Styela clava: one gene and its partner. Each later gene encodes a partner of the first gene's protein in a complex. Links are inferred from orthologs where the notes say so. Each region holds a gene or a part of one and is shown on either strand. Other genes may lie near its edges.

Region 1 (6,314 bases):
GTATACTCCGCAACAAAATTTTTTGTAGAAGGACTTTCTCAATCTTTAAGGCAAGAAGTAAAAGACAAGGGGGTCAGAGTAACTTGTATTCAACCCGGTGACGTTGCGACTGAAATTGGGAATTATACGAGAGATCTGGATGCCCAAGTGCAATACAATACAATGGGTTCAGCAAGTAAAATCCTTGACCCTGAAGACATTGGAAGGGCTGTCTTATATGCCCTTACTCAGCCAGATCATGTAGGTGTAAATGAAATTCTTATAGAGCCCACAGAAGCTCCAATCTAATTTATGGTATTTGACAACCTTTCCGTATCTGAGCGTTTGTTTTTCAGATATGTTTTTAAGTTTACTTAGTCCAATGTATGCTGTTCCTGCCAGACTAAAATCAAGCCGAAAGGCTGTTTCAAGCATTAGTTGAAAATAATATTAAATTCTGGGTGCCAATAATATTGTGTTTTGTGACAAAATCATGATACATAAACTGCATGAACTGGTATATAAATCGTGTTTTCTTTTGTTAACTAAACTGCTTGTATATAGATTGTGATAGCCAAATGTTTTTTATGCATGGAATATATTTGTGAGGTCAACTTTTCGCAGTTACATATAGACGATAAATTATTCCAGAATTTTAATAAAAAGTGTGTTTTTGATTTTAGCGCTTGTGGGAATTATGGCATACCGGTACTTGAATTATTTTATTTACTGATTTCCAACAAATGTTAAACTGACTTATATCATATAATCAGGGAAATCACTACGAAATGGTTAAATTAGATGTCAGTTTACGTATAGTCCAATGTATTTTTCTGGTTTTGCTTTGAAATCGTGATATAATGTGGTCTATTTTCAAACTACTTGGTAAATTGTTTTTGATGTACGTAGTCCAATTTTGATTTTTAAGCTGTTTTTCTTCAGCAATTATTCAGTTTACTCCAGATCCCAAGTTTTTATGAATGGAGGAATATTGAATAATGTTTATTCAGAAGATTGATTAGTTATTAAAGTTTTAAAATATATATCATACCAAACTAATGTTTCGTCTCTTAAGAAAATACTTTTGTAGTGTTATTATTGTATTTTGAGGCTTTCATAATTATGTTCATTCATGGAATACCTTCTAATAAAAGCATTATTAAATGCATTTGTGTAGTTTGTAGGAATTATATCTAAACATTACTGTAACTACATTTTTAGCACTTGACCTTAGAGATGGGATAGGGAATTTTTTCATTATTTTAATGAATTAGAAAATTATAAATTGAAAAAAAAAGGATGGGCATGAAATGGAGTTGCAAAACTTTCTGCCAGCTCCATTTACAACAAAAATCCATGGCTTTAGTCCCGTCCGAATACTCCAGTAACAAGGCAGCATTTACCTGATTAAGTGCGCCTGACTTGGTTTCTAGTTAATACTGGACTGTGGTTTGCTATGGAATGATTCATCTTATTTTCAATCTCAGGGTTTATATAGAAATTCTATCAGCTTGGTAAACCAAGTATTGCAAAATGGATCTTCAAATATTGTACAATCATTTCTACCTTTTTTTCTTATCTCCAAGTTATTTATTCCTCACATTCTTGGTGCAGATAAAAATAGTAGGCTATTCAAATTATCATTCAGTAGATGCTTTTCATTCTCAAATTAATTGCATAGACCTGAGACAATTACAAAGTTATCTATACCCATACTTGTCCTGGACATACAACCGGACAAGAAACAGTCTACCATAGGATTAAGCCATTTCATCAGCCTTGCTCAGGATAAATATAAAAAACCTATCTTGATTGTCATTAGCAAATATGCTATACATGTTGATTATATTCTTATATTATAAGCGGTAGTAATGAAAATTTGATTAAGTTATTATAAAACAACGATTACGGTACTTGTAATATGAACGAGTGTTTTCTTCTAACATTGATTTGGTTTTGACGTGTATGGGCCAAATATCAAAGTTTTTTATTGAAAAATTTTGAGTTTTGTTTTCCAATAATCCAGGCCTCCTTGTAAACATAGGCCATTGCTTCAAAAACGTTTTTGATCTATTCAAGCATTATTAAAATTATCATCATTCATTTCTCATTTTCGTTTATTTTTACATATTGTTGAATCACTCAACTCATCAAAACAGTTTTTTTGGGGGATTCGTTACCATGGGAATCGAAATCTTCATCAAAAATTGTTTTTGTGATAATCTGTTATATGTTAAACTATTATTAATTGAATTCTTTCAATGTAGATTAATTGATAGTTTAATTAACTGTATTCGCTGACCCATGAAGGTCATTGAATGCAGCAATATGAACGATTCATTGCAGTCTTACATTGCGAAACATCCTATTGAATGTATGTTCTTCAGTGAATTTCATCATTTGCAAGGACCCAAGATAACTTATCAGGTATTTAACAATGGAGTGGACCTATAAATCGTTTTGTGAATATTATGTTGTTATTGTTCTTCTTGGTATTTTTCTTCTTATGGTTATGGAAAAATCGTTTTTTTCTTCAACTCCTGGACCAATTGCTTTGGAATTTTTAGTGGTTAGAGATTGTGTTTTTCATATTTAAGCATTGTTTTGTTGTTTCTTGAACATTGTCCATGACTGAATATTATAAGGTTGAAATATGTCTCAGTATTTTTAATGTGTTCTGTACAATAATATAAAAAAAGGGAATATTGAATGTAGAAGTAAAATTGTTGTATAAGTTCAAGTTTCGTCTCTTGTTTTTCAAAAATCTGATAACTTGAACAAATTTTCATGATTGTAAAACATCTACTACATCTAATATTGGTCTAACTATCATTAGCTCTGGAATATAGTTTTCTGATCAGTGATGTTGTCCTTCCTATTGTTATGACTTGATTTCCTTCTTTGCAATAAATCATTTGATATGATATTTTAATTTCAGTATCCTGATGGATATTTTAACCAACAAGAAGGATTATTTGAAGAAGTTACGAATTATATCATTCCTAAACCAGAATTACAAGAGAAATTGACAACTGTGTTGGTATATTTTGTAATTTATTTTCCTTGAAATGAATGAAATACACACAAAATTTGGTCAAATAACAGGGAAGAATATCTCAAGCCCAGGGGTGTGCAATCTTTATTACATGAAGACCACATTCAAATAACTGGAAGAAAACGTGGCCCGCACCTTTATTTAACATAGGCTTTAATGTAGTTGCATGCACAAAAAGCTAGCTAGCTGTTAGGGCATTGTAACGTCGTAAAAATTGGTCTCGGGTATAGGCTTTGCAACTCTAAGGTATTGGGGTTACTCGCTCATACCAGATAAAACTAAATTAAAACTGCGTTTCCCGGGCCGCACACAATCCAAAATTGGCATGTCTCCGCAGGCCGCACAATTTTTCCCGGTGGGCCTCAATTGGCTTGCAGGCCACAGGTTGCACAACCCTGCTTCAGCTTGTTCTGAGCTGTAAATGGGATTAAAATATTTTTGTTTAATCAAATTTTCTGCAATACACTATGACCAAGCTATTCCTAGATTCTGACTATCGTAGAGAATTGTGGTTTACTATAATTGGTGGTATTCAATCAGAGTCTGATTTGAAAGGGTGTACTATTTGGAATCTGGATTCAGTATTTGGGACTTTGAGAGAGTTGGGAGTCCAAATTTTTATTGGTTAAAATAGTAGTTAAAATAGTTTCTCACATTTGTAAGCTGTAGTGAGTTAAGATTTTGTCAATTCAGACCCTTGACTTAGACCTGCATTTTGAATCTCTGGAGTGAGAAGAAACTTTTTTCAGACAAAAAACGTCCTAACTATGTATTTTCATAGGGCTATTCTGAAATGAAGGTAGCTGTGTTTGCTTCTCTTTAGCTATCATGCAGCATTATTAAAAATGTGACTATAACACGCAGTAAATATCATTTGTCTATAATTAATACTGTATTTAGGAATGTAGGGAAAAAGAAAGTGATTGGATGTCCAGTATGTATCGAGGGATCTCATTATCCAAGAAATAATTTCATCTTTAACTTTGGTCTGGTGCTCGATAGTAAACATAAGAGTTCTCCTTGTATTCCAATGATCAAACAACTCTCAAAATATATGTCAGAACTTGAGAAGGAGAATGGCTTCGTTTCTAATGAAGAGACTAGAGAAATGATTCCAAGTAAGAAACAACCCTTAACTGTAAATCTGGTTTGAAAGAAATTTAGGACTTCTGCTCAATTTAACTGCCAATAAGAAATAAAAACCATCGCATTTTAAGTCTTTTTCATAAATAAACTGAAAAATGGGCGCTCCAGAAGTATGTGTACCAATATGGAGGTGACTAATTTTGTTTGCCTATTTTACATCCAAGTTATATAAAGTGACTGAAACTTGTGGGCAGGGGGTATATTCACTTGGCTAACACAGACAATCCCTGACTTGTAATAGAATTAAAATAAAGAAAATCGGAATAAAATTATGGCCTAACCCTAACATGGTGCACATACTACGGGAGTACTCAAAAATATATTTGGCCCTGTGCAGACAATACAGCTAGTTATGTTATTGTTATGTTAAGTATATATCTTGATTTTAAACAAAAAAATAAGTCTCATTCTTTCAGGGTGTAAGAATTTGGTAGGTTTTGCATAAACATAGATTCTGGTTATTTTAAAATATTGTATCCGTAGATCTATATCCAAACCCTCGTTTAAAGTACATTTATGAAATGTCCCAAAAATAGCCAAATTAATATTACATTCACGATACAAACACTCATTTTACAGTCGTATGAAGCAGATCTCATATTTTGGAGCGAAATGTGTGTGCATAATAATGCAAAATAGCCTGCTCCTGTTTCTTTCCCGCGGAGCACTATAATCCGGCCCGCGACGCTTCACTAAATTATAGTAACAAAACATCCGTTTTGACGAATATATTCTTTAGACTTAATTATATTATAACCCAACAATTATATAATTCACAATTACTCGTTTAATGAGCATATAATTTAATTATAATTAGGCAAATGGCAACAAAACGCGGAAAAGTTAATTCTAAGTGCAAAGGGTTCAATGGCGCTGAAAATATTCAAATGGGATTTTATGAGATGCAATGAGGAAATAAATCTATATTCTATTCGAGAGATGTATCAGTGCTTGATTTTTATTATAAAAAGTACCATCCGTTCGAAATTTTCAACTTTCTAAAAATATGTGCGACCCGTCAATGACTTGCAACCTTAATTTTGGCCCGCGAGTGACAAAAGGTTTCCTCACTGCTGTACTCTATTGGTTTGATTGTAAAACAATCACCTTTGAGGTTTATTACCATTACAGATTACATTCCTACATTTTTCTAGATATTCTGCGCGATATGCTTGAAGAACTAAATACAAAAGGAAGTTGCTGCACAAGGGTTAATGATAACACAACTTTATTTTTAAAAGTATTTCCCCCCACAACCCTTCCTCCTGTAGTAAAAGATCATGATGTGCCGATACTGATGGTATCGATAGATGAATTCATGCCAGGAGGATGGGATTTGACCACAGAAAGGGTAAGATTGTAGTTAATGTGAATTTTGAATATTCCATAGTTAGTGGGACCTCCTGAAGTATGCGCACCAAGATGGCGCACAACCTGAACTCAGGTTGTGTACCAGGTTAGAGTTCAGGTTACGCGACATTTTGGTGTGCATACTTCAGGAGTACCGTATTTTTTTTATATTTTATAAGGTTTCCAATCTCCACTCGTGAGTTAATAATTAAACATGGTTTTGTAATTTGGCTTACAAGGAAGGTAAGAAATGCTCATGGATGTGAGCTTTGAATATTTCATGGTTGAAAATTGGGTACTTCTATAGTGTGTTTACCAGGTTAGGCCATAATTTTTTACCGATTTTCCTTATTTTAGTTCCCATTTTCCCATATTTTCAATGAGTTCTTGATAGAATAATCATTTGACAATAAATTTAGCACATTCTATGAATTTACTATAAAATTGGGACATTTATCAGAAATGAAGAATATATCTGTATTTTCAGGGCTGAAAATTAGATTGCCAAACTGTTTGAACATTTGCATTCATAATTAAATTAAATCACCAACCCATATTCTTTTTTTTTTCTGATACTGATTGCACGAGGACGTACCATCATCGCTTTCCTTTTTTTCAGATTCTTCCATTCATTGATGGATTTCGTCATGTTCAGAAGATCGCATATTTAGCTGATGTTGATCCAAGGTTGACAAGAACTTGCATCAGGGATCTTGCATTTTACAGAATTGTCGAATTGATTTCTATATTTCAATATTCGAATACTTATGTGACAACATCAAAT
Region 2 (6,314 bases), on another chromosome or scaffold:
CGACCTTTTGGGGTCATCAGAGTCTGTTGCCACCCGTACAATTATATTATTAGTAATAATATATTTTATCAGGTACTGTGTAAGGTAATTCAATACCTTTCGTTTATTTATCATATACACCAGAGCTGTGCAAAGTGCCGCCCGCGGCCCACAAGGGAAATTTGTGTGGTTCGCGGAAAAGTGCCAATTTTTGATGGTGTGTGGCCATCGAAATTGTGTAATTCAGTTTATAATCTGGTTCCCTGTGCGTTGCAAAGCTCGTATCCGAGCCCAATTCACTGTTTATGCCTATGGCGTTACAGGGTCCTATATCTCCTAATTGATATTATTAAAAAATACAAAAGTTAAATAAATTTTGGTTTCAGCCTATCAGTTGATTTTGTCTAAATCTAATTTAGAATAAGATTTGACAGCAAATTATTTGGAAATTAATCTTGGCGATTTTTACCGGAAACATCTCTCGAAGCCTCGAAATATGAATATCAAATTGTTAGCATTTCCATTAAAGCAAATTTGGCTAAGGTAGTCGGGAAAAGAACCCAGCAGCAAATTTCCCACTGAATTCGTTCAAATTTGGAGTGACAATAAATTTGAATAACAGTTTGATAAATTTATGCGTCAACTCATCATTTTTGCAACGACCCATAATAATGCCATAAGATCAATAAAAAAAGACATTATTTTGTGCCTGTTACTTTAGAAAGCCTATGTTAAATGAAGGTGCGGCCCGCGGTTTTACCCAAGTATTGATATCAGGCCCGCCGGCGGGAAAGTTTGCACACTCCTGATTAAATACACTATTTACAAGACTTCCTTATTTTTGAAAAATAAGAAATTTTGTGACAAAAAATACTGTTATATTTAGCTGAAAGATTGTTGTATATTGCATAGTATCTAACTGCATGAAATTTTTTTCGTACATTAATATATATTACATATATTTTCTAGTTTACTAATTGTAGTCGACAATCTTGGAAATTCTGCCTGAAGTTAAACGAAACGACATTTTCAGGGCTATGCTCATGGGTATGCCACGCATATGGCGTTGATTCAAACTTGCAAAACATCACTGCTCGATCGGCGTCAAGAATACGCTTACATACTTTTACACGAAAAAGTTTATTCATAAAACAAACGAGTCATTTAGCTCTACTGCGGCTACGACCAACACACAAAGCTGTCAGTCTGTCACCGTAACCCCATACCTAATTTGCTATGATGATGCCGAGTTCTGAGGTGCCATAAATAAAACCGGCACCCAACTACACCCCCTGCGTGACCATGAACTAATATGTTTGTTCTACTTGTCTAAAGCCTTGCTTTGAGTGAAAACGTATAAGGCCTTATTGATGAAGTGTGGCAAAATACATTACCTATCGCTGGACATAAAATAATGAGTCTTTATGTGTGTGGTACCGAAGTGAACGTAAATTAATATGCACTTTTCTTGCTTAGAGTGAAAAATAATAATAAGTCCTTATGTGTGTGGTACCCAACTACACCCTCTGCGTGGACGTAAATTAATATGTCCCTTTTTGCTTGTCTGAAGTCTTTCTTAGAGTGAAAACGTATAGCACCTCATTGATAAAGTGTGGCACAATACATGACCTATTGCTTAAAAATAACAAGTCCTTAGGTGTGTTGCACCGTAGTAGTATATATTTACGGTTGTACCAAACTAGATTAATTGCGTGAATGTAAATTAATTAATATATCCAGTGTCAACCCACGAAATTGTTCAGATGAGGATCCGTGAACGTTGCTTGGTGAAAATAGGTGTCTCGCTTTAGTTCCGTTTGTTAATTAGGAGATCAGCGAAACGATCCTACGAGAGGCATGTACTTGCACTCTTGTAGGCACTGTGACGGGTGTTCGTCGCCCTTTGGCAAGCTCTATTTCAGTATTTCGTGATAGTGACGAATTTTTGGATGACGCAGTCAGGAATCATAAATGCAAAAATTGTTACCCACGCCCACTAGAAGTTATTGTGGAACGAAACTAGACGAGACCCAAAAATTGTTATGCTACGCCCGCTAGAAGTACGTTAGGTACGATACGAAACTACACGAGACCCAGAATTTCTGCAGAATGACACCTGACAGGAATTGTGGGTTAGCTTTTCAGATAGACAGGTCTTACAGTAGTCAGAATATGGTTTTATTCTTGATGAAATTATGGTACCAAATTCTGTAGTTGGTCAATTCACAAAAACATTACATTGATACGTTATAATTGAATAAAATTAAGACTCTGAGATAAAAAATAATTGACTGAATAAATTTATCTCTTACAGGTCCATTGATTAAATCCATTGAATACCGCATACTGGTATAGACAATGAAGAGAAATCAAATAGTATCAGATTTTGGCACTAATATCTCAAATGGAGTAACATATGCAAACCAACATTGCACAATGTATGTTGATGTGGGTGGACCTATCAACATGCTAGCAGCAAACAAAGACAGCTCTATGATAGCAGTTGCTGGACGAACTATTTTGAAAATATATTCAGTAGATGACACTTGTTTTAAGGAAAAAATAAACTTGAGAGTCGGAAGAAGACAAGGGCTCAATTTAAGCTGTGCTGATGTGGCATGGAATCATTTAAATGAAAGTTTAATCGCAACTGCTGCTACAAATGGAGCTATCATTGCATGGGACTTAAGTGCATCAGGCAGAAATAAACAACTCGAAATATTTACTGATCATAAAAGGACTGTTACAAAAGTATGTTTTCATAGTTCTGAGCCTGGGAGATTGCTTAGTGGTTCTCAAGATTGTACAATGAAAATGTTTGACATGAGAAAAAAGGAATGTATTGCCAGTTTCTCCAGTAAAACTGATGGTGTTCGATGTGTGCAATTTTCTCCTCATGAATATTTTCAATTTGCGGCATCGTTTGACAATGGTTCTGTTCAAGTTTGGGATTACAGGTGAATTACGCCTTAAGTTTGTTAAAAGTTGGAATTAATCAGTTTTGATCTTCTATGCTTTTGGTTCAAAAGTCTTCGTGTTGAATTTAATCATGAAATGTAAACACCATTGCAAGTTGAACAAATTTTCAAGTCATGACCGAGAAATATAAGCTAGTTTCATATGACAAAAGTTTGATTATTATAATTTTCTATTTCAGAAACACAAGTTCCTGTTTGATGCAGTTCATAGCCCATAAAGGATCTGTTTATTCAATTGATTGGCATCCGGATGCCAAAGATAAACAGAGAATTGCAACAGGAGGCAGAGACAATAAAGTCAAAATTTGGGATATGATAGATCACAAAATGTCTGAGCATATGGTGATACCAACAAATTCTTTAGTTGCCATGGCTCGGTGGAGAACGCAACGACGAGAACAGATTGCAAGTGTAGCAATGATGCTGGACCATTCTATCAATGTATGGGATATGAGACGACCATACATGCCGTTTGCTCATTTTACAGAACACACTGATGTTACAACTGGTATAGCGTGGAAAAAAAATGATCCAGAAATTCTATTTTCATGTTCTAAAGATGGGACTCTATATCAACATTCCATTAGAGATGCACATCGCCCATCAGAACACTGTAACATTTCTGGTCTTTCTGTAAGCGCTAGAGGATATATAGGACATGCGTCCACTGATAGTACAAATTCATATGATGCCATACCTAGTACTAAGACTAAAGGAATGACACGGTTTGGTTTTAGAACTGTTGTTGGGGTCGCTCCAAAACTGGATACAAACTCGTGGGTACAAAACACATTGTCTACTAGTAGTATGAATATTAAATTTGCTCGATTTCTAAATGCTAAATCAGAGCTTGGGATACACAGTATCACTCCTATCAAAGAAGATGACTTTCCTACTTCCTCGGACGTACATCCTTCAAGTCTTATCAAGGCCGCCCAGCAATACAAGCTACAAGGAATGGCATTTAATAAACTATGTTTACACAATGCAAAAGTTTGTGATGATCTTCAAATGAGCATTGATGCAAACATATGGAGATATTTGGAAAGGTTTTTTGAAGGAGTTTCGACAAAAAAGACAGAACGAAGCAACTCTACTACATTTCATACAAACTCAGCAGAAATAAGCAGTCTTAAAACTGGGAGAGAGTCTATGAAAAATGGGATTGTTACTGGGGAAAGCAACGGAGAAGAATCCGAACAACACTCAGATCCAGAGACTGAGCATTACCTGACAGATATAGCAAAGGGCCATGCTACATCTGAACAAGAGTGTTATTACTCTGATGAGTATGATTTGAGTGAGGACTTTGGGAAAGGTCATCACGGTGGTATTTCTTCAGGACCAGAAGGATACATGGATCAGGATTGGTATCCTCTTAGCGATACAATCAGTGATGCTACACTTCCATCTGAAGCTTTTAAACAGAGACTTGTACTAACTGCCACTGATGGTTTTGAAAACCAGCTTGATCCAGCTATAAGTGGAGAAGAAGAGAAACTAATAACTGCCGTTCCTGTTATGATTCCATCTTCAACATCACAGCAGAATCATAACCCTGAAAAATGGAGGAAGAAGAATAATAGTCGGAGTTCTGGCCCTTCAGCTGTCTCCCTGCATTCACAATCTTCATCTCCACATGAACAATTATCAGTATCTCCTGTGGTTTACACCAGACCCTATGAAAACCCTGCTTTGTCAATCAGTCGTAAAACTGAACTGCTTTCTTCAATGTACGAGTCTATGATAAGCAACGGCAACAACATTCAAATTATAACATGTACAATGATTGTCCTGGGTCATTATTATCCCTCAATAAGTCTTCCTATTGACGATCATCTGCTGGAACATTGGCAAAATTCATATCTGGAATTGGTCAGTCGTTATGAACTATGGAACCATTTCACTGAGATTATTAATTTAAGCACACTTCCTTCCATAAAGAATATGAACACTTCATCCACCCTAAACACCTGTTGCGGAATTTGCCATAAACGAATGCCAACTGCAAACCCATGGAGTTGTTCAAAACATTCTGATAATGATCATAAACAAGCAGGCATGGGGGCTGGTATAAAATGTTCACTGTGCCAGTTAGTTGTGAAAAGTTTGTATACATGGTGCCAAGGATGTTGTCATGGTGGACATATAGATTGCATGAAAGATTGGTTTAATTATCCACATAGCAAAGGCAGATGTCCAACAGGATGTGGGCACATTTGTGCTAGTTCTAGACATAGACTACCAGTCAAATGAAATTGGTATATATACAAACCTAATTATGTTTATGCAATTTTACACATTTTTTCATATCACTGTCAATTATGCTCAAAATGTAGTTGCTGGTCATGACCATATGTAATTACGGTCAATCACATCTTGGGCACTAAAGAAACAACTTCAATAGCCTCTGAATTTGACTCGTTCGTTTACTCATGCTCCCCAGGTAGATAGCAATGACAATGGCACAGATTTGGTCGCGCCAGAAATGTATGTACCAATGTGGAGGTAGATAATTTTGTTTGCCTACTTTACATCAAGTTGTGCAAAGGGACTGTCAAACCAATGGGGCCCAACACAGACCATCCCCGAACTCGTAAGGAAAATCATGATTTGTGGGTCGAACATTACATTCAAAACTGCATCCTGGCACAAGGTCGTTTAAATCAGACCACCAGTCCTGGTTGCGAAGAAGGTAGTTAATTAATTGATTAATTGAGAGAACTGAGGTTGTGATACAGACTAGAGCAATTTAATCTCACTGTTTTATTTTTTTGTAGGCTAAACAAGAAATTGTCATGCAATTGAATCTATTATTAATATATATTTTCTTCACTTGTACTGGTGTGATGAGAGGCATTTGTGAACTTTCTTCAGCTTTATTCCAATACTCTAATAAAGAAATAAGGAAAGTGAAGTTATTGGTTAAATGCAGGCTGTCATAACGATCGTTGCAGATTTTAAAATTCACCTTGCATTATCGAACACTTTAATACACAAATCTTTAAGAAGATGAACCAAAATCATTCTCGTTTTGCAACAATTTTTCAAAGATGATACCAACAAACCAACAAATTGCATAAGTGTTTATGCCAAGTGTCACAAAAATATAATTATTAACTATTACTATACCGAGGACGCTTTCAGGTAAAAGGTTTTCTCCAGTGTAAAAAAGAGAGGCCTGTACGATATGCTGTGTATTCAAATGACAATCACTCAACCATGATCTAACACTATCTTGAATGTAGTTGACACAGTGTTTCAATTCCAGTGAAGTAACATGTCCTGAAGCAAGACCTGACAATGGATAATTACGCAGTAATGATCATTCAGTTATTGGAATGAACACGTAAAACA

What was found. The genes of interacting proteins can lie anywhere in the genome.
Region 2: GATOR1 complex protein NPRL2-like (region 1) and GATOR2 complex protein WDR24-like share a complex: the UniProt entries of both Drosophila melanogaster proteins name them as parts of the GATOR complex. The link is inferred for Styela clava from reciprocal best matches to the Drosophila melanogaster genes Nprl2 and Wdr24.

The regions. Positions count from the first base shown.
Region 1 is NC_135262.1:4,333,251-4,339,564, forward strand, and holds the start of GATOR1 complex protein NPRL2-like, read left to right. Parts: upstream 1-2,265; 5' UTR 2,266-2,283; coding exon 2,284-2,406; intron 2,407-2,917; coding exon 2,918-3,015; intron 3,016-3,934; coding exon 3,935-4,152; intron 4,153-5,334; coding exon 5,335-5,531; intron 5,532-6,149; coding exon 6,150-6,314. Other genes in the region: uncharacterized protein LOC120332525, read left to right, coding at 1-288. UniProt on the Drosophila melanogaster protein: An essential component of the GATOR subcomplex GATOR1 which functions as an inhibitor of the amino acid-sensing branch of the TORC1 signaling pathway.
Region 2 is NC_135253.1:6,286,480-6,292,793, reverse strand, and holds GATOR2 complex protein WDR24-like, read left to right. Parts: upstream 1-2,297; 5' UTR 2,298-2,337; coding exon 2,338-2,936; intron 2,937-3,136; coding exon 3,137-5,213; 3' UTR 5,214-5,715; downstream 5,716-6,314. Other genes in the region: uncharacterized protein LOC120326470, read right to left, coding at 5,716-5,849, 6,090-6,254. UniProt on the Drosophila melanogaster protein: An essential component of the GATOR subcomplex GATOR2 which functions as an activator of the amino acid-sensing branch of the mTORC1 signaling pathway.